3 linked regions of the Alligator mississippiensis genome follow. The protein of the gene in region 1 binds, or shares a complex with, the protein of each later gene. Links are inferred from orthologs where the notes say so. Each region holds a gene or a part of one and is shown in the gene's direction. Other genes may lie near its edges.

Region 1 (7,630 bases):
GGTGAGTCTAGCGCCCCCGCTTCGGGGTGGGGGCACTGGGAGCCTGAACCCCTGGGTTCTCTCCAGGCCGGGGGAGTCCCTGCTCATGTCTCCCCGCTCCCCACAGCGACCAAGGGCAAGAGGCCGCGTCCCCGCAAGTCCACGCCAACGCCCCTGTATGCAGCACACTACAAAGGTGAGGGGGGGGGTTCTTGATGGAGGAACTTAGGCCTCTGGGCTCCCAGCCCCCCTGATCCCCCAAGCTCTGTCTGACCCCCTTTGTTTCTCTGTTCCAGTGCAACCAGCTGATGGGCAGACTGGGATCTACACAGGTAACTGGGATGGGGTGGGCAGCCAGGGGAGCCCAGACACCTGGGTTCTCTCCCAGCTTGGGCAGCCCCACAGTTCCTGTGCTCCCCCTCACCCCATGCTGCCCCCCCTCCCCCATAGCGGGGCCAGATGGGACCATCCGGGGCTGGGCTGAGACGTGGCTGAACGCGAGTAGCCCCCTGCGCTACGACGAGGCACGCGGCGTCTTCACAGTCACCCATGGTGGCCTCTACTATGTCTATGCCCAGGTGCGCCGGATACTGGGGTTCCCTCCGGCACGGGGGCCTGGATTCCCGGGGTCCCTCCCTGCCGGGGGCCCGGACATTTGGGTCCCTCTGATGCCCGCTCCCCCCGCAGGCGCACTTCGACGAGGCGGCCTGGGTGTACGTGAAGCTGGAGCTGGCGTTGGGGGTGGCGCCGGCACTGCGCTGCCTGCACCAGCTGCCCCCCCCCAGCGCAGGCCCCCCTGAGCCACAGCTGCGCGGGTGTCGTGTGGCTGGGCTGCTGCGCCTGCCCTCCGGTGCCACCCTGCGCCTGGGCACCGTGCCCCGTGTGCGTCTTAAGCCCGACGCCTCCCTCACCCACCTGGGCCTCTTTCAGCTCCGCTAGCTTGAGCCTGGGCACCTGGGTTTGCCCAGGCTGGGCCCCTCCCAAGCCCAGAAGCCTGGGTCCCATGGGGCTGGGACGCCTGGGTCCCCCCAGGGCACGGTGTCCCTGGGTTCCCCAGGGCAAGCATCTCCGAGCCTGGACATCTGGGTTCCCTTAGGTCAGGGCACCTCAGGACCCGGATGCCCGGGTTCCCCCAGGTCAGGGTGTCCCAGGGTGCCTGGGCTCCCCCAAGTTGGGCATCTCAATTCCCCTCGGTCAGGGTCAGGTTGTCTCGGCCAATAGGAAGCTAGGGTGGCAGCAGCTGCATTTGCTGAGCCGAGCAAGGCGGGGCAGGGCCCTGCTGGGAGCCAATGAGCACCTCCCACACGGGTGGGAGGGGGTGGGGCCTCGCATTGGCCCCTTCCCCCAGCCTGATGTGGTGGGGCCAGGGTGGGAGAGGGGCCTGACAATTTTATACACAGAAATTTATTGTAATAGAAATAAAACCAGTGGAACCAGTGACAGGCTTGGCCGCAGACTGGGTGCCCGGACTCCTGGCTCCCCTCCTGCTTGGGGAAGGGAGCAGGGAGGGGGAGGAGCTGGGAAGCCCTGGACACCTGTGTTCTCTCCCTGCTGGGGTTGGGCGTACGGGCCTCAGCCTCCCAGGAACCTAACGGGGCCTGATCTCATTATGCCCAGGCCCACCCCAGAGCTGGCTGCATCTTGGTGCTAACCTGGGGGTTCCTGTTACACTCAGCCATAACCCACCCCAGAGCTGGCTGCATCTCTGTCAATTTAGGGGTCTGTTCTATGCAGCCAGGATGCACCCCAGAGCTGGCTGCAGTTCCCTCCTAGGGTTCTCTGTTACATCCAGTCATGATGCGCCCCAGAAGTGGCTGCGTCTCAGTGCTGGACAAGGGGTCCCTGTTACACCCAGCCATGACCCACCCCCAGAGCTGCATGAATCTCAGTGCCAACCTACGTGTCCCTGTTCTATGAAGCCAGGACCCACCCTAGAGTTGGCTGCATCTCAATGCTGGACAAGAGGTTCCCGTTACACCCATCCACAACCCACCCCAGAGCCAGCTGCATCTCCCCCCCAGCTTCTCCCACCCCACTGGCACCCCAGACACCTGGGTTCTCTCCCAGTTTGTAGTGGGGGCAGCCACCCGCCCCCATGCTGGGCGCTGCATACTCTTGGCCACCGGCCCGGCTTCCTGCCCCCCCCCCGCCCCCTTGCGCAAGAGCCTCTGGCGCCTGCAACTTGGTGGCCACGGCCTGCACCCGCTGGCCACAGAGCCCTGGACGCCTGGGTCCTCTGGCGGGGAGCCCTGGATGCCCGGGTCCTCTCTGGGCTCTAAAAAGGGGAGGGTGCAGGGACACCTGGCTGGCCTGGACTCCTGGGTCCTTTTGCAGGGGGTCTCCTCATGAGTGGGGTCCCTGGACGGGGGTTGGTGCGGCCCCCCCTGGCGCCATGGCTGGCAGGGGGGGCAGTGCTGGGGGTCCTGGCCTGCCTGGCAGCCCTGGGGATGCAGCAGAGGCAGGTGGGCACCCTGCGGGCACAGCTGGAGCAGCTCCAGGAGCGGCTGGAGGCCAAGACCTACGGACGCCCCCAGGTGAGACCCCCACACCAGCCTCTGACATCTGGGTTCTCGCTGCAGGGAGCCCAGGAACCTCCCCCCACCCCCGGCACCTGGCTCTCTGCTCTGGGAGGGGGGAAGTGGGGTCAGGGGCGTCAAAGTAGGGAGCCCTGAGAGCCGGGACTCCTGGGTCCTCTCTCAGTCATGTGGGGGGGCTGCAGGGAGCCCTGACGCCTGGGTTCTCCCCCTGATCTAGGAGGGGGGCTGGGGGCCCGGATGCCTGGGTCCTCTCCCTGCTCCGGGAGGGTGCTGGCAGCTCAGACGCTCGGGTCCTCTGCCAACACCAGGGCTGTGGGAGATGGTGGCGCCCAGGCCTTCTCCAGCTCAGGGGGGTTCCAGGGGTCTCTTACCTGGCCCCATCCTGGTCCCTTGTGCTTGCCGGGAGCTGGTCTGGGGGGGGGTCAAGGGGGTTTAGATGCATGTGGCCTGGCCCTGGGGGGAGATCTTCAGGGGGTTAATCATTAACCCTCCCCCAGGGCCTGGCCCAGGGCCAGGAGGAACCAGGGAGCAGGAAGCAGTGACTGGGGAAAGCACCCGCCGGGGGCGGGAGGCTGGAGGCCAGTCAGGGAACCCAGGTGTCCTGGCTCTGCCCAAAGCCCTCCCGAGCTGGAGGGAACTGAGGCATCCGGACAGCACCCCCCCCCCCCCCCCCCGGGAACACAGGACCCCGCAGAAGACCCAGGCATCCAGAGCATGCGCACGCACACAGATGAGCACCCCCAGGACACACCCATATGCATGCACTACCCTGGTGTCTGGGACAGATGCCCCCCCAGGTGTCCAGGACACACGCACACGTGCACAGCCCAGGTGATCTGGACACAGACATGCACATTGCTGGGGCCAGCTAGTGGGGGCTGGGGGGGGGGGTCAGTGCAGGGCTGGAGTGGGGCTCTGGGGGCCCGGGTGTGGTGGGGGTGTGCAAAGGGGCATTAACCCCTTCCCATCCGCACCAGGTATCACCCCGCAGCAGGAGGCAGCTCGAAAGGCCGTCACCCTCCCCCGGCCCACGGCACCAGCACCGTGAGTTCGGCTCTGACCCAGGCCCAATCCTATGGGGGGGGAGTTGGGGGGGTTTATGACCTCAGGGGGTGTCTGTCCCCCCTCCCAGGCCAACGCACGGCCCTGCACCTGGTCCCCAGCCACTGCTCCACCAACGGTGAGTGTTGGGTGCTCCTCAGCATGGGGTGGGAGCAGGGGGGCCTGGGAGCCCGGACACCTGGGTTCTCTGGGAGCAGATGGGGGCTTCAATGGAGGCATGGCGGGGGAGGCAGACACCTGGGTTTTCTGTTGTGATTGGGGGCCCAGATACCCGATTCTCCAGGAGGGGATGGGGGTATAGGGGCCCGGACACCTGGGTCATCTGGGGGGGGCAATAGGGATAGGTGGGGGCTGGATGCCTGGGTCCCTGAGGGGGCAGGGACATAGGCCTGCACCCTTGGGTCTTCTCTGGGAGGGGATGGGAGCGTTGGGGTCCCCGGACGCTGGGGCTGAGCGCAGTCCCCGCAGCTGAGGGTGACGTGACGGAGCTGTGGTGGGCGCCGGCGCTGCGGCAGGGCCAAGGCCTGGAGCTGAGCGGCTCCATCGTCACTGTGCGCCAGGCGGGCCTCTACCTCGTCTACAGCCAGGTAGGGCCCTGCTCCCATGCACGCGCCCTCGTGCACGCGCCCTCGTGCACGCCCCCCTTCACCATCTCCCTTCTGCCCAGGTGCTGTTCCACGACCCCACGTTCACCATGGGGCAGGTGCTCTGGCGTTTGCCCCCCGGGGGCCGGGGCCCGGGACAGATCCTGCTGCGCTGCGTCCAGAGCATGCCCGGGCAGCGGGAGCAGGCCTACAACAGCTGCTACAGCGGAGGTGGGCGGGGCCTCCAGGAGGGGGTTGGGGCGGGGGCACCTTCGTCTGCTCGGGAGGGGTCCGGGACCCACCCTGAGGCTCCGCCCCTTCTCGCCCCGTAGGTGCTTTCCACCTGCAGCGGGGGGAGGGGCTGCGCCTGGCCGTGCCCCGGGCCAACGCCTCCCTGGACCTCACCCCCCACGGCACCTTCCTGGGCCTGGTGCGGCTCTAGAGGGACCCGGGCGCCCGGGCAGCGCCCCGCAAAAGGGAGCCCGGGCGTCGCCGAGAGAGACGGTGGGACCCAGGCGTCCAGAGCCGGCCGCCACCAGCGGGAAGGGACCCAGGCATCCGGGCGGTGGCGCCGAGACGGGGAAGGCCCCAGGCGTCCGGGACGCCGCATGGACACGTGGGGAAAAAGGACCCAGGCGCCCGGGGCAGGTGGGCGCAGGAGGCGTTGCGACCACCCGGGCACGCCAACGAGCACCGATTCCTCCCCGTAGCAACAAGGGCATCACTCCCGAAATCTCCGTGAGGCCTGAGGCTCCTTGTCGCCGTAGCAACGGGGGTGGGCCCGGGCGCCTGGGGTCCACCTCGGGTGGGGGGGTAACAAAGGGGGTGGGGGGGGGGGGAAGGCGAGAGCCCGGGGTCCCTCAAGCCCTTGGGTTGCGAGTGAGGGGCACTGGCTGGGCCGGGCCTGAGGCTTATTGACGGGACGTACGAAAGGTTTAAATACAGCCAAGCCGCCGAGATCTCGTGAGATTGGGCCCACATCTCGCGGCATTTTCAGGCAGGATGGCCAGGGTAGCGCGAAATTTCGCGCGGTACGACTTGGAACCGAAGTTGCGCGAGGCCCTCACCGAAAGACCGCGGGATTTAGCGGCCGCGGCACCTCCCCGGTCGAAATTCTCGCGAGATCTTGCCAAAGAAGCGCTCGCGACAGGTCAGGGCCGGTGCAGGGCTCTCGCGAGATGGGTCGTCGAGTTCACGCGGGAGCGGGAGGTTTGAGCTGGAGTTCACGAGTTCTCGCGAGAGTTGGTGTCATGGCGGCTTCCAGCTGCTGAGCAGCGCGTGTCTCTGCGGGAGGCCCGGGCAGGTGATGGGACACTCCAGCACCCCCCTCCCTGACCGCCCCAGGGCAAAGGGGCAGCCCACCCCCCGACCTGATCCCCCAGAGCAATGGGCAGTCCATCCCCCCAGCCTGACCCCCCCACCAAGATCAGTTCAAGTCCCCCCCCCCGCATTAACTCCCCCAACCTGGAGTAATGGCACAGTCCGCCCCCCCACCTGCCCCTCCCCCCGGGCACTGGGACAGCCGAATCCTCCAGCCTGGCCCCCCGCACGGGGCAATGGGACAATCTACCCCCCAGCAGGTGTGAATGGGGTGAGGGGGAACCCGGATGCCTGGGTCCCACTGCCCTCCATAAACCTCTGCCTCTCTTCTCCAGACCCCTCTCCTGGCAGGCATGCCCCACCCCGGATCTGACACCCCCACTGCCATGGAAGAAGCACCTCCAGACTCTGGAGCTGTGGGGGAGCCTGCTCCTGTCCCCCCAGAACCCCCTGACACCCCCTGCCTGGGGGATGCAGGGGAGGGGCCGGAGCCAGGGGTGGGGCTGCCCGAGGCGGGGCCGGGAGAAGAGGAGTATTAGTGAGTATGAGGGGTGGGCCCGGACACCTGGTTCTGCCCAGGCCGGGGGAGGGGGGGGGTCAAAGTGGGGAGGGGTCTGGACTCCTGGCTCCACCTGATACCCCGCCTCCCCCCCAGCCTGCCAGCCTATGACTTTGGGCGCCCCCCTGTGCTGCTGACAGGCGCCTGGGCCGAGTATGGCCACGTCCCTGAGAACTTCCTCAAGGGCTGCAAGTGGTGAGACACCCCCCCACACACATACACAGAGGGAAAGGGAAGGGGGTTTGGGGCGGGGCGGGGTGGGTCCAGCGCTGGGGTCAGAGGGAGGCCCTGACCTGCAGGGGGCAGCACCCCAAAATCCCCCCCCATCATCCCAGGGAGGCAGCTGGGAGACAAAGGAGAAACTGATTTTGGCACGTGCATCCCTTGCAGGGCTCCGGACGGCTCCTGCCTGCTGAGCAACAGCGCCGACAACACCTTGCGCATCTATGACCTGCCGCCCGAGCTGTACAGCCCCACAGGGGGGCCTGCTGCTGAGATGGTGGGGCCTGGGAGGGGGGGAACCCAGGCGCCCGGGCTCCCATCCCCTCCCTCCTCCAGCCCCTTCATTGCCCTCCCTGGAGGGGCACGGGGAACCCAGGCATCTGGGAGCCTGTTCTTTGCAGGCCACAGGGAACCCAGGTGTCTGGGCTCCCAGCCCCCACCCCCCTCTCAGAGCCAGAGGGAACCCAGGTGTCCGAGCCGCCCCCTTCCTCCCCAGAGCCCAGTGCTGTGCATGGCCGAGGGCGACACCATCTATGACTACTGCTGGTTCCCGCTGATGAGCTCGGCTGAGCCGTCCACCTGCCTGTGAGTTGTCCTGCCCTGCCCAGGGCCAGATCCTGCCTAGCCAGGGCACTCGGCCTGGCTGTCCCCTTCTCGTCCCCCCCCCCCCAATCCTTGAGCCTGGTTACATTTGGCTGCTCTGCCTGGAGCTGGCTGCATCTTGGGGGTTTAGGCTCTTCCCCCAGGGGTGGGACAGCAACTGGCTCCGCCTCCTCCCCTCATGTCTGCTCCACCCCCCAGCGTGGCCAGCAGCTGCCGGGACAACCCGATCCACGTGTGGGATGCTTTCAGTGGGGAGCTGCGGGCCACATACCGCTGCTACAACCACCTGGTGAGTGTTTGCGTACCTGCGTGTCTAGGCTCCCAGCTCCCTACACCTTAGCCCCCCCACCAGATCTCACTTTCCCCCAGAGCTGCAGGGAACAGAGGTGTCCAGGCTGCCTCTACCCCCACCTCCACCCCCTGGCGTGGCCCTGGGGTGAGAATCCAGGCATCCAGGCCCTGCCCCACCCCTTCTTCCACTCCTCCATCCCCTGGCAGTGCTGGGGGGAGACCCCAGGTGTCCTGATGCACCCCCTCCCCCCAGGACGAGCTGACAGCCGCCCATTCGCTCTGCTTCACCCCGGATGGGGCCCAGCTCTTCTGTGGCTCTGACAAGACTGTGAGGGTCTTCGACACTGAGCGCCCAGGCCGGACCTGCGAGGTGCGGCCCACCTTCGGTGAGACATCCCCCTCCCCCGCCACCAGGGTGAGGGGGGGTCCCTGGGACGCCTGGGTTTCATGCCCACTGAGAGAGCTGGGGTCAG
Region 2 (5,472 bases), on another chromosome or scaffold:
GGTGCATCGAGTCCAGTGAGGGGTGACTTGAGTTCAGCAGGGTTGAGAAGCCTTGACGTAAAAGATATACAAAGCTGTGAATTCATGCCAACACCCCCACCCCTGTAAAAATGTACAAGGTCTGTGCAAAAATGTGCAAAAGTTCTATGTCTGTACAATAATAATGAATCTTGCAAAATACTAGCAAAAGGAGAGGGGACCAAATCCATCAGAGAGATAATGGCTCTGCCCACTGGCTCCCTTACTGGTGGTAAGGGACAGGTTTCCATGTCTGTACTGGTGGGCTGGGAGGGCAGAATACCTTGTTGGTTGGTACCAGAGGCAGGGACTGCAAGGGGCATGATGGGCTCAGCAGGGGGGGCCTGGAACTGGGAGTTACTCAGGAGCTTCATCTTTTGGATCTGTAGCTCCTCTTCTGCCTCAAACTCCATAAACCTGAGGAAGAGAGACAGAGTCTAAAAAGGGTGGCATTGTCTGAGTCCCTCTGCCCCAAGGTGCCAGAAGCAGGAAACCTGGGACAGACTCTAGAAGAGCCCCACTAACTTCTCAGCCATCTCATAGAAGATCATGCGCTCAAAGTTGCTGCTGTGCTCCCACTCTTGCACAGCACGTGGCACGCCCTCCTCCAGAGTCATGTCAGGGCGCAGGCGAGTCAGGGAGCGCAGGACGGGGCTGAAGAGGGAGGAAGAGGGTTAATGCCAGAGAATGCCCCTCATCCTGAAACACAAACCCCTTGCAAGCTCCTTTAAGGCAAACAGCTTTGCCAGTGCCCCTCAATCTTAACCCACAGGCCCTCTGCTTTCCCAGCCCTGGTCTCCCTCCATCTCTCACATGAAGAAACAGGCCAGTGCTTCTGCATCGGGTGTGTTTGGGAAATGTTGCCTTGCCAAGGCTTTGTAGTGCTGCCAGCGCCGAAAGTTCTCATAGACCCCTTTGGAAGTGCAGGCTGAGGAGGAGTCACTGGGAGGAAGTGGCTGCGTTGGGGCACCTTCCGACTCCCCCGTTTTCCTCACTCTGGGCTCCTCCCCAGCTTTTGTCAGCAGAATGGTCCTGATCCCAGCTCCAAATTGAAGTCGAATAGGGGTCCCATCCTGCCGTGGGGGGACCCAATCTGCAGGAGCCGCTGTAAGGATGATAGTCTGCCCACAGGGGGCCTCCTGGGTCCCCTCCTCCTTCAATTTGACAATCAATTTGCCATTGGGAGCATCTGGTGAGGTCAGGAGCAGAGCAGTGCCAGGGAAGGCAGGAAGCAGGATTGGGGATGGTGGGGGAGGCTGTTGGGATTGGGAGCTCATAGCTGAAAGTGCATGGGTATTGAGAATCAGAGAAAGATGGGGAAGAAATGGGGCTCCTTTCTCTCCTCCGTCTTTTAGGGGGGATGGCAGGATAGGGTGTGCAGGAGTGTCAGCTGCACCAGCTCAAGAGCAAGTCTGGGAAAGATCAAGGCTGTCCCAGGTTGGTGTCCCAGCAATAAGGTTGAATCAAAACAAATCCGGAACCTGGAGGCCTCAGGGGTTCTGAGCTGGGTGTGGAACGAGAGTGGGTGTTGAGAACCACGCAAAGGTGGGCAGGGAATGCAGGTCCTTTGTGTGCAGGGGGGGATGACATGGTGGAGTGTACAGGGGCGTCAGGGGCACCAGCTAAGGAGTAAGTCTGAGAAGGATCAAGGCTATCCCAGGTTGGTATCCCAGGTCCCAGCAGGAAGGTTGAATCAAAACAAATCTGGAATCTGGGGGTATGCGGGTTCTGAGTCGGGCGTGGTGTGCGCAGTCAGAGACTAATCGCAGTTCTTCCCTCCTCTCCAAGCTCTGTAGATGCCCCAGTCCCATCCTGGAGGCCCTCTGCCCTTCCAGGCATGGGCTTCACACATTCCCAGGTGTGCCAGGGCTCCTCACCGCTAACCAGCTTTGCACTCCCCATACACAAAGAACTCTCAGTCCCTCACTCCAGGGTTTTTAGGAACAATGTAGGAATAACCAAGATGCTCCCCAAATTGCATTCAATGGTTCAATTTAGGGTACGCTAAAGCAAAATGGCTGAATGGAAATGGCAGTATCAAAATCATTACTGGCAGGCAACCAGGGTTTAGGAGGCTACAACTCCTGTGTTGCACTAGGGTATTAGAGATTTACAACTGTATTAGGGAATTGTAAAAAGCAGGCTTATTCACATGGCTTTGTCCCCTCCAAGAATGAATCATGGCCTGAAAACAACTCCCAAAACAGGTGGGTAGCAGAATCTACAGCTGCCATCCAACGTTGAACAAGAACCTACATGCCCTAGGGTACACGGGGGACTTGAGAGGCTGCAATTCTCAGACTGCAGGGGCACAGCTGAGCCATTGAAAGTCCTGGAGCATTTAGGGAGTCAACATGAGGAAAAAGCCTCAGGTTTCCGGACTAGAGAGCAAAGTGTGGAGCCAGAGCGCATGCATTTTAGGAGATGAAACTGCACATGGAAGATATCGAATTTTGCCATTTGAACTGGAAACTTCACAACATGAAGAAAAAAGAAGCTAACCTCAACAGCGACATCTAATTTATATTCTCACTGACCTCCTGTTGCACTTTTAGCTTTTTTCATTCCTTAGAGATCTCAGAACAACAGCTGAGTCTCCCTATGCCTGAAGAAGGGTGATTGCGCCCAGAAGCTTGCAAAGAACTTTTTTCTAACTACTCAGTCTTTTATCTAATAAAAGACATCACATTGACCCAAAGAACCTTGCCTGCCCAGGTCCTTGAACAGGCAAGGCTCTTTGGGTAGATTTGATATCTTTTATTACACCAACTGAGTAGTTGGGGAAAAGTTCATTGCAAGCTTTCAGGTGCAATCACCCTTCTTCAGGCATAGGAAGTCTCTGCTGTTCTGAGACTCCAAGAAATGAGAGAAGCTAGAAGTGTGGCGGGATGTCAGTGAGAACGTAAATAGGTAGAAATCAGGAAAATAAAAGGTAAAGCAGGGAAGGGTGGGGGGAGGGGGGCAAAGGTGAGTAAGGGGGTGTAGGTTGTAGCCATGTTGGTCTAAGGACGCAGGCAGACAAGGTTCTTTGGGTAAATCTGATATCTTTTATTAGACCAGCTCAAATAGTTGGAGACATGGGCGACTGGTGCCACCTTTGTGGAGGGGGGGCACGTGCCCCACCCTACGACCAGTCCTACCAACTTGGGGTGGGGGAGGAGTCCCCCCTCCACAAAGGTGATCTCGCTACCGGGGGGGCCCCCGGAGCCGTTCCTGTGATGGCCGATCGCTGTGCTGCAGCCTGCAGCAATTGGCTGGTGCTTTCAGGGGGGTACCTGCTCTCCGGCCTGCCCCCACACCCATCACTGAAGTGGTGAGCACAGCCTGTCAGAGGGTGCACCTGCGCTCTCGGGGGGGCACGTGCACCCCCATGCACCCTCTACCTGTCTGTCACCACTGACTGGAAAAATTCTTCTTTGCAAGCTTTCAGGTTTACCCTTGGCCAGGCTGAGGAAGCATCTGCAGTTGGTGTGTGCTCTTCCTGGATGGAAGCAATAGTAAAGGAGCCAAAGGGGAATAAGGGAGACTGCAGTCATACAAGGCAGAAAAGAGGCTGTCTGTACAAAAGGAAAGAGCTGGAAATTTGGAAGACAAAGGGCAGGACCCGCCTAGCTCCTTAGACCAACACGGCTACAACCAAGACCTCAGGCCCTGGAGAAACCCTCGGCAAGCAGATCAAGTCCCGCGTTTGGAGGACCTGCAGCTTGGTTTGGCGTGTTCATTTCCTGGCCAAGCACAACGTATTTCCAGAGGCTGAGGCAGAAACGGGGCGCTGGGCGGGCTGCCCGGGACCGGCGTCTCCTACAAGTCCCAGAGTGCCCGGGGAGGGGAAGGAGAGGCGGCCGCAGCTCCCGCCCCCCCCGTGCGCCGGGGCGGTCCCCGCTGGCAGTCGCGGGAGCGGGCGCGCTGGGAGCACGTGTGCGGCTGCGATCTGGGGCCGGGTCGGAGCCGGAGCCATGTTCCTGCAGTACTATCTCAACGAGCAGGGGGACCGGGTGTACACCCTCAAGGTGAGCCCCTGCCGCAGCCCCGGGACCTTTCTCGCCTTCCCTTATCTGCCCCAAGATCTCTTCCAGCCTCCCGCGCACGTCCTGTGCAGCCGGGGCCGTGTGTCGCTCTGCCCCTGGGTGCAGGTTTGCATCCCCCTGGTCGGGGGAGGCAGGCAGTGGGACAGCCCAGGGCAGGTGGGGCAGGGGGGTTGTGCCCCAGGGCTGGGGTGGGACCTGGGGGTCAGGATTGAGTAGTCATGGCAGAGTTGTGCCCGTGGAGCTCAGGGCTTGGGGGGGCAGCGAGTTGGGGGTTGAGTGACATGCCCTCGCCACCTGGGTGGAGGCTCAGAGCTGGGAGAGGAGGTGGCAGTGAGTGAAGCACAAAAGTGGAGCCGTGGGGGGTGGGGACGTCAGGGTGGCCAGACTTGGGTATTTGTATTTTAGGACCCAGTTGCCGTGACCTGGTATGATATCATCTCTTTCCATTTCCTTCCCTGTAGAAAGTAAGCCCCTCTGGCCAAGTGACTTCCTCTGCACATCCTGCCCGCTTCTCCCCAGATGACAAATACTCCCGCCACCGGGTCACCATCAAGAAGCGCTTTGGCGTCCTCATGACACAGCAGCCGCGGCCCATTATGTGAGGGCAGGCCTTTTCCCAGCTGGAAGCACAGAAACGTGCCCCTGACTGCCCTGAAATGGGACAGTCCTGCTCAGCTGAAGCTGGCTCAGTGGCTCCCTCTGCACCAACTCATCTTCCACTCCTTTGTTTATCCCTCTCCTTGTGATCTGACTGCTGATCCTAAACACATCCTAAAACCTTTCCCCATTCTCCTCTTGTCTGTGGAAAAACTGCTTTGATTCCCCTTTTGATCAAGCCAGAGTTAATCACTGTAGTTGAAAACATGGTTTGTCTTTTGATTGCCAATAAATTATCTGATGTTTATTTCTACCCTTAGCCCAGACTCTCCTTCCCTGCTGAGCTTTTAACCCTCTAGTAGTGGTGAAGCTGTACTCATTTGTTTCATGCTGTGCAGATGTTCATGTTGTGTTAGGAACTTAAGCATAACAAGGGAAGGTTTCTGACTAAGCTTTCATTGTTTTAGTAGGGAAGCATATTCATCATATTAGAAATGTGAGATGGCCTTTATTAGATGTGGGGGAAAGCTGCATTCAGGGTCTGATATGGGATCAGGTGGTTGGGCCGCATGGCAGGAAAGGTGGGGAAGATTCTACAAAGTGAAAGAGAGGAGACTGCAAGCTTGATGGAAGAGAATAAGCTTGAGTCTCTGCTGCTCAATTTGAGAGGGAAAGATACTGAATGCTAGTATCCCAGCACTGCACCACTCAGCTGCTTAGCTTGGCATTCAGGACTGGCATCAGTAGTGTAACTAAAGCACCCACTTAAGGAGTGCAGAAATAATACTTACCACAGATGCTGGCCCGCCATGCCACCAGCAGCCTAGCC
Region 3 (6,891 bases), on another chromosome or scaffold:
GGCACCCCTCTAGGTAGTACCATACCCTGAGTAACAGCGATGATACAGCAGGACAATCCCTTGCTCCCTGGGGCCAGGCTCTTTGCTTTAGCGTGTCACAGAATCAGACATTAGGGACGAAAAATTCCTGTGGGGCTCCCCTGCTTCTACAGAGCCAGGGCAGCCTTGTCTTGGACCGTGGAGCATTAGAACCCACCCAGTTTTCAAAGTCCTGCAGAACAAATTTCCTCCACTTTCTGGGGCTTTCTTTACCCACTTGCCCTAGGCAGTTCCCTGTCCTGGACACTGGGAAGCTCTCTCTTCTCTCAGTGCTGCTTGCCATCCAGGCAGAAGGGTTGTCCTACACAGCCATGGTCCCTGTGCTCCACGGAGAAGTGGCTGTTGCAGCAGCACTGCTCAGCACCCCCTGGCAGGCTCCATTCACTGTTGCTCTGTCACAAGGAGCTTGTGAGGGAACAAGCACATTCCATCCTCTGTCTGCATTCTCCCAGCTTTCTCTGTTACTCTGCTGTCTCCTCCCGGTCTCTACCTGCGGCGTGTCCACAGCCTCCCTCGTAATGCTAGTGGTGGGCTGTCGATCCCCACTGGAGACTGAAGGTGACTCTCAGATCCACAGTGAGACCTGTGGCTCATGGCACAACTTACGGCACCTCAGACAGGACTGGGGGGCTCCTTGTGTACCCACTTGCTACACCCACTTCCTGGAGATTGGGGACCAGGATTTGAAGGTTGGCTCCTGCAAGTGCCACCTCTGGATGGGGCTTTTCCAGCAACCTTGTCATTGAGACCCTGGCTTTGAGCAGCCACTCCTCTCTGTCTGTCCTCCAGGGCAAGGCTGAGGAGGAGGGGCCAGGACAAGCCCAGCAGGAGAGGCAGGGGAACACTGTATTCCCTGCACAAGGAGATAGCGGCTGCAGAACCTCCGCGGGTTCCCCGGCAGATGTTATACACATGAACCCAGCACCTTCGCAGCTGTGAGTAGTGCAGCCCTGTGGCGCCTTCACTGGAGCTGTCTATGTGAGGCCAAGCCAGGGATTGGCAGGGGGCAGGTCACTTTGGGGAGGGTGGCAAGCCAGCAGAAAGTGGAGGAAGAGATGGCCCCGGTCGCTGCTGGTGATGGGCTTCCGACCTTTGGGTGTTGGTTCTACTGCAGGTGCAGCAAAAGGGGAGTGGGGACAAAGTGACCATGGCCTAGCCTGAGCTGGGGACCTGCTCTGCCAGGCAGTCCTGCAGGCAGCCTGCCAGCACTGTCCTTGAGGGGAGCATATGGTACACTGAGCAGTGGGGCCGGCCTCCCCACTCCCTGCACTGGGACCCAAATGCTCTTCAAGAAACAGGCCATTCATTTGCAGATTCTCCCTTGGGTGGTGTGTGGGTGAGGAGGGTCAGGAGATGAACCAAGAAAGGTGCAGCAGAAATGAGGACACCCTTCACTCCCAACAGAGAGAGAAGACAGACCCTGTTCAAAAGTCTCCTGCCAGAGTGCAGCGACTGTTCTCCTGGTTCTGATGCCTTCTGGCTCAGCAGCCAGAGAGGTGGTCCCAGACAGGGTAGACTTGGGTCATGGGCACAGGTAAATCCTAAGGGAGGGTCTCCAAAGAGACTTCAGGAAGGAGTGCACTGGGAAATGCTGCCCCAAGGGGCACCTGCCCTGTACATCTCTGGCCACACATGGTGGGTGGGAGGTTAGCAGTGTAGGCCTCTCCCTGACCCTCCAGGCATGCTGACTGGGTGGTGTCTTGTGCAGGGTGCAGCTGAGCTGGGATGACCCTCTGCAGCGCATGCATTTCAAAAAGACTCTGCTGTCCATCTGGAAGATGATAGCCAGTCACAGGTGTGTATGGAGGGTGTGGTGGGGTGGGTCCATGCTCTCCCTGGCTCCCCAGTGCCATCAGCACCCCCTCTTGCTTGAAGGCACCAGCAATCCAGCTGTTTCTCCTGCATTCCTCTCTCATGTTGCCTACCTTGCAGCAGGAAGGGGTCCTTGCTCCAGGGCTCTGGCCTTGCACCTCCATTCTTATTACTTTGTTTGGCAGCCGCTGGTCTGTGCAGGATGTGGAGGGCTAAGTCTGGCTTCAGCCAGCCCCAGCAGGGTCTCAGACTTTCCTCTGCTGGTGCTGGCTGCACCAGCCACTGTAACCAGGGGCCACTGGCAGGCAGATGAGCCCATTCAAGCAACGGTGTGTCACTGCCCACAGCCCACTCCCTCTTTGGGAGTCAGCTGCCAGCCAGGGCAGACCTGGATCTCGCCTCATTCTCTTTGGGCTTGTCCCCTAGATACAGCGGCCCGTTCCTGAAGCCAGTGTCAGACAAGCAAGCCCCTGGGTACAAGGATGTGGTGAAAAGGTCAGTTGGGAGAAGGCAGGAGAGCTGCTTGAGACCCTTTCCACCTGCTTTCTCTGGCCTCATTGGATCCAGCTGCCAGAGAGAGAAAGTCCAAGGCGGCTGGGTTAGGAAACCTGCCCCAGGCTTGTCACAGGGTACCTGCCCCCTCAGACTGGGGCGGGAAGGCCCTCGGTGGCTTACACTCCTGGGGTTAGCCCTGCGTTACGGGGCTTCCACCCTGCCCAGCCCCGCTCTCCCGAGGGGAGTTTTGTCCCAAAGACCCAGTTTCCTTATTTATAACATGCCCCTAACAGCCACATGGACTCCTCTGACTCCATCCTTCACATCTGCACCCTTAGGTGTTTGGCGACTGTTATGTTCCTGACTTGCGAACCCCTCAGGAATCGGCCGCTTCCCCTGGGGGACGGGGCTGTGTGGTCTGCGGCAGGAACCTGAGCCCCAGCCCCAGCAGCTCACCGAGCGACGCGCGCTCGGCTACAGCTTTCCCCGCTGCCCGGTCTCCCCCGCCCCCAAGACCGTTCATTGCTCCTGGCGGTGCATTATTGCCCCGAGAGCTCCGTGTTGTATGCACACTGTAGATCCTAGTTCCTAAGATCTTTTTTACTACTGTTTCATTTTCCCTCAGTGTGGGCTGATGTAACTAGTTGTTCAGGTTGCTGCTTTGTCTGGTGCTCAGTACTGCTCAGGTTTTAGAAGCAGTTGCCAGTGCACAGTGCTTGGGTGGCAGGTATCTGTCACAAGGCGAAACCCTCCTGGTTTTTGAGGTTCCCGACTTGAGAGCTGGGTTGAGAACTGCTGCGCGTGCAGGGTCACGGGGCGCCAGGCCTGAGGCGGCGGTGTCGGGGCTGGGGGGCCCTGTGTTGTGATACTTGATGGGGTCTCCTCCTGCAGACCCATGGATTTAACCACCATAAAGAGAAGTGTGTCCAAGGGCCACATCCGGAGCACGGCCCAGTTCCAGCGCGACCTCATGCTGATGTTCCACAACGCCGTCATGTACAACAGCTCCGACCACCACGTGCACCGCACGGCCCTGGCCATGCAGCAGGAGGTCTTGCAGCAGCTGCAGATGCTGGGCGAGGCCCTCCTGTGCTCCGCGGACAGGCTGTTTTGAGCGGTAAGCAGCGGCGCGCGGTCCGGGGCCCTGGCCCCGCCAGAAGCAAGCCCCGTCTGCTTGGGCATTCCTGGGGCGCTGTGCCGGGGCCGGGGCCGGGGCCGGGGCTCTCCTGGGCCAGGCCCGCCAGGCTCCAGCGACCCGGGAGCGGGAGCGGGGAGGAGGAAGGCGGGGGCGGCGCCCTCCTCCCGCCGGCCTGACGCCGCCTGTCCCGCCCGCAGGTGCTGAGCGCGGCGGACGCGACCCCCCCCCCCCCCCCCAAATAAAGGCGCTTCGCTCGGCCGCCCGCCCCGGAGTGGTCTGTTCGGGGTGGGGCGGGGCGGGGCGGGGCGGCGGGCGCCTCTGATTGGGCGGGGCCTGCGGGCGGGGGGCGCGATTGGCGGGCCGCGGCCCTTCCCGGGGGGCCGCGCGGACCCGGAAGCGGAAGCGCGCGGCGGCGCGGCACGTGGCCGGCGCGGAGATGGGTCGGGAGCTGGAGTCGGAGGCGCTGGCGGAGCCGGAGGGCGGCCCGGAGCGCACGTACCGGGAGCAGCTGGCGAACCTGAACCCCATCGCGCAGCCGCTCGCGTCGCGCAAGCTCACGCGCAAGCTGTACAAGTGCATCAAGAAAGGTGGGGCGGGGCGGGGCGGGGCGCACGTGGGGAGCGGGGCCCGCGCGGAACCGGCGTTGACGTTGTCTCTCTCGTGCAGCCGCGAAGCACAAGCAGATCCGGCGCGGGGTGAAGGAGGTGCAGAAGTTCATCAACAAGGGCGAGAAGGGGTAAGACCCGAGCGGGGCGGGGCGGGGCGAGCGCGTGCAGCGCCGAGGGGCGGCTCCTTGCGCCACCTGCGCGGGGGCTGCGGCAGGCTTCCCGACGCAAGGGTCTGGGAGAGGAAGAGAAGCTGGCGCAGCCGCGTACGAGGAAGAACAGTCGCTTTTGTTCGGCCCGGTCCGTTGCTCGCAGGAGTTGGAACCGACGGCTGCTGACCGTGCCTAGCAGCGTTCAGGTGTTTGACTGGTGCCTGCTGCCTTGTAACAGAACAGCGGCTTGGCACTTACCGTGAAGAGAGGGATTTCACAAAGCCCAGGTGTGAAAGCTGAGGAACGGCTGTGTGCAGATAGGTAGGTGCTTCACCTACAGCTGCTCACTACAGGAACGCGGTGCTCGCTCGCGTCTGTGGGTGCTGCCCCGCCGCTGACGGAGTAAAACAGTTGGTCGGAGGTTTCTGCTTTGCACGCGTGGGTGGTTGCTGCTCGGATCAGGTAACCGAGCAGAACGGGGCAGTTGATTGCTTGCGTCTTGTGGAGCCGCGAAATGCTGCGGTGGCCAGTGCTGTGAGCATCATCGAGCGCTGTAAAGGGGGCGGGGTGGGCCTAGGTCAGGGCCTTTTTAAGCTGAGCCACATCATTACGACTTGGGCAGAAGGCAGGGCAGACTCTTGAAGACTGTCATTCAAGGACGTGCACTAACACATTCAGAGAATTGGTCTGAGGTGTAAATCTGCCTGCCTGACTTCGGACTACCGTGGGCAGCTGCCTGCCTCTGACAACAGCTTTCCAACCCTACTAAATACAAATGGTCACTTCCAAAGGGAGCGGGCAGTGACCTCCTCTGCTCCGTGGGTTATCAGCAGTGGGGATGGACCACGCAGAAAGTTGGACTAGAGGAACCGAAGTATGTGAGCACTGCTGTTTGCTTGGTCTGGTAGCTACTTTGCTTGTTGCCTGCTTCCCCTCTAAATTATTCCCATCCCTTTGGTTTACCACTTCTGTGACATTGCTTTACCAGCTACTTGGCTTAGGCTGAAGCTGCTTCATTCCCAGACCGAAGAAGGATGCTTTGTGCGTGGAAGCTTGTCTGGTCTCCATCCGGAGAGCTGGTGCAGTAAAAGATGCCGCCAAACAAATCCTGCCTCTTTCGTGTTCTCTCAGCTGTCTCAGCATACAGGAGACGAGAGGATCAGTGTCCAGCCCATATGTGTGGGGACCTGGGACCAGACTTGTTACTCGGTGCTGTGCGCGCAGGACTCCCGTACTGGTGCCGATTCTGTCTCTGACCCAAACCTGGCCTCGCCCTGCTGGGGGACCAGTGGTGCCAGCCCCAAATGCTATCCATCACCAGCCCTCTCGCCCCCACTCATCCGCTCTCCTCATGCTCTCGCTGCCTTCCTGGCCCACAACTTTTCTCTGCTGTTTCAGGATTGTGGTCTTGGCTGGAGACACGCTGCCCATTGAAGTGTACTGCCACATCCCCGTGATGTGTGAAGACAGGAGCCTGCCCTATGCTTACATCCCCTCCAAGACGGTAAGGCAGGTGGGAGGGGTCTGAAAACAACAATCCCTGTGGGGTTGGGAGAGCACGGAGCAGTCTTGGGCCAGGCTCTCTCGGATTCTATCCCTTCCCCTTTCTGGTGGCAATAAACTTGCCCTGGGGCCTAGCCCAAGGTCCTTGCTGCTGCTGCTGCTCTCCTGTGCAAGGCAGCAGGTTCACAGCTGAGACTTACACGTGGAGGAGACGACGCTTCTTAGCTGGTTGAGCTCCTGTTGTCTGCCCTTGGCGACCAGCAGTAGAGAACTCCACATATTTCAATGGCTACAAGGAATGAAATGGCTCCATGCTGCCCCTAGCTCCAGGGCTCCCTGTTGCAGGAAGTTATGGCTACAGTTTAGTACTGTGACTTGGCTTCTTCAGTGAAGGGGGCTTCTGCGGTGGGTGCCCAGTATCGTCCTGCTTCAGGCCAGGAGCTGAGCTGGTCTCCAGCTGAGACAGATGCTTCCCGCCAAGGTGGTTGGAGCTGCTTTGCCCATGGAGACCTCTATTAAACTGCTGTGGTGGGAACAGTGTTTGGAGCACTGGAGAAGGGAGCAGCTGTGGGGTCTGTTAGAGGCTGGAGACAGGCTGAGATGAACTAGCACGCTTGGGTGATCCCTAATTGTGTTGCAGCGGGTTCCCTGCAGAGCTGGCATGGTCACAGTGCAGCTGGCACCACGACAGCATTGCCTGCTACTGGCCTCCTGCTCTTCCGTGTTGTGTGGTAGAGTGGCGGCCCTGCTGTGCCCAGGGCACTGGGCAGTGTCAGTGCTCCCCTTAGGGGCAGCATCGTGCTGCTGGGGGTGCCACGGGGAGAGGAGGGTGGGCATTAGAGCCTTGGCAGGGGGAGGGCTCAGGTTAGGAGAGGGGCGGAGGCGTGGGCTGGGCTGTACGGTGCTGCCCTGGTGGAGGGGAGGAAGCCCCTGCACCGGCCCCAGGGACATGGGGGCTGCCTGCCCGGTGCCAACCTCACAGCATCTCCCTCCTTCCCTCGTTCAGGATCTGGGAACAGCTGCAGGCTCCAAGCGTCCGACCTGCGTGATCATGATCAAGCCCAACGAGGAGTATGCAGAGGCTTACGGAGAGTGTCTGGAGGAGGTGACGGCCCTCCCTGTGCCCTTGTGACATGGGGCACCCACT

Evidence for each region. Proteins that work in one complex are often made in the same cells at the same time.
Region 2: WRAP53 (region 1) and NOP10 share a complex: the UniProt entries of both Homo sapiens proteins name them as parts of the telomerase holoenzyme complex. The link is inferred for Alligator mississippiensis from reciprocal best matches to the Homo sapiens genes WRAP53 and NOP10.
Region 3: WRAP53 (region 1) and NHP2 share a complex: the UniProt entries of both Homo sapiens proteins name them as parts of the telomerase holoenzyme complex. The link is inferred for Alligator mississippiensis from reciprocal best matches to the Homo sapiens genes WRAP53 and NHP2.

Annotation. Positions count from the first base shown.
Region 1 is NC_081838.1:24,752,261-24,759,890, forward strand, and holds the start of WRAP53 (telomerase Cajal body protein 1), read left to right. Parts: upstream 1-4,619; 5' UTR 4,620-4,810; exon of another isoform or gene 4,811-4,899; intron 4,900-5,817; 5' UTR 5,818-5,835; coding exon 5,836-6,020; intron 6,021-6,137; coding exon 6,138-6,236; intron 6,237-6,431; coding exon 6,432-6,540; intron 6,541-6,759; coding exon 6,760-6,848; intron 6,849-7,064; coding exon 7,065-7,155; intron 7,156-7,410; coding exon 7,411-7,543; intron 7,544-7,630. Other genes in the region: tumor necrosis factor, read left to right, coding at 1-1, 107-175, 276-311, 430-557, 3,494-3,560, 3,649-3,696, 4,047-4,165, 4,246-4,393 and 1 more. UniProt on the Homo sapiens protein: RNA chaperone that plays a key role in telomere maintenance and RNA localization to Cajal bodies. Specifically recognizes and binds the Cajal body box (CAB box) present in both small Cajal body RNAs (scaRNAs) and telomerase RNA template component (TERC).
Region 2 is NC_081830.1:36,381,556-36,387,027, forward strand, and holds NOP10 (H/ACA ribonucleoprotein complex subunit 3), read left to right. Parts: upstream 1-3,897; 5' UTR 3,898-3,974; coding exon 3,975-4,028; intron 4,029-4,507; coding exon 4,508-4,648; 3' UTR 4,649-4,956; downstream 4,957-5,472. Other genes in the region: uncharacterized protein LOC102563792, read right to left, coding at 302-435, 544-672, 832-1,295. UniProt on the Homo sapiens protein: Required for ribosome biogenesis and telomere maintenance. Part of the H/ACA small nucleolar ribonucleoprotein (H/ACA snoRNP) complex, which catalyzes pseudouridylation of rRNA.
Region 3 is NC_081832.1:79,494,963-79,501,853, reverse strand, and holds the start of NHP2 (H/ACA ribonucleoprotein complex subunit 2), read left to right. Parts: upstream 1-3,875; 5' UTR 3,876-3,920; coding exon 3,921-4,071; intron 4,072-4,150; coding exon 4,151-4,220; intron 4,221-5,639; coding exon 5,640-5,745; intron 5,746-6,750; coding exon 6,751-6,876; 3' UTR 6,877-6,891. Other genes in the region: bromodomain-containing protein 8-like, read left to right, coding at 829-974, 1,748-1,834, 2,278-2,346, 3,238-3,460. UniProt on the Homo sapiens protein: Required for ribosome biogenesis and telomere maintenance. Part of the H/ACA small nucleolar ribonucleoprotein (H/ACA snoRNP) complex, which catalyzes pseudouridylation of rRNA.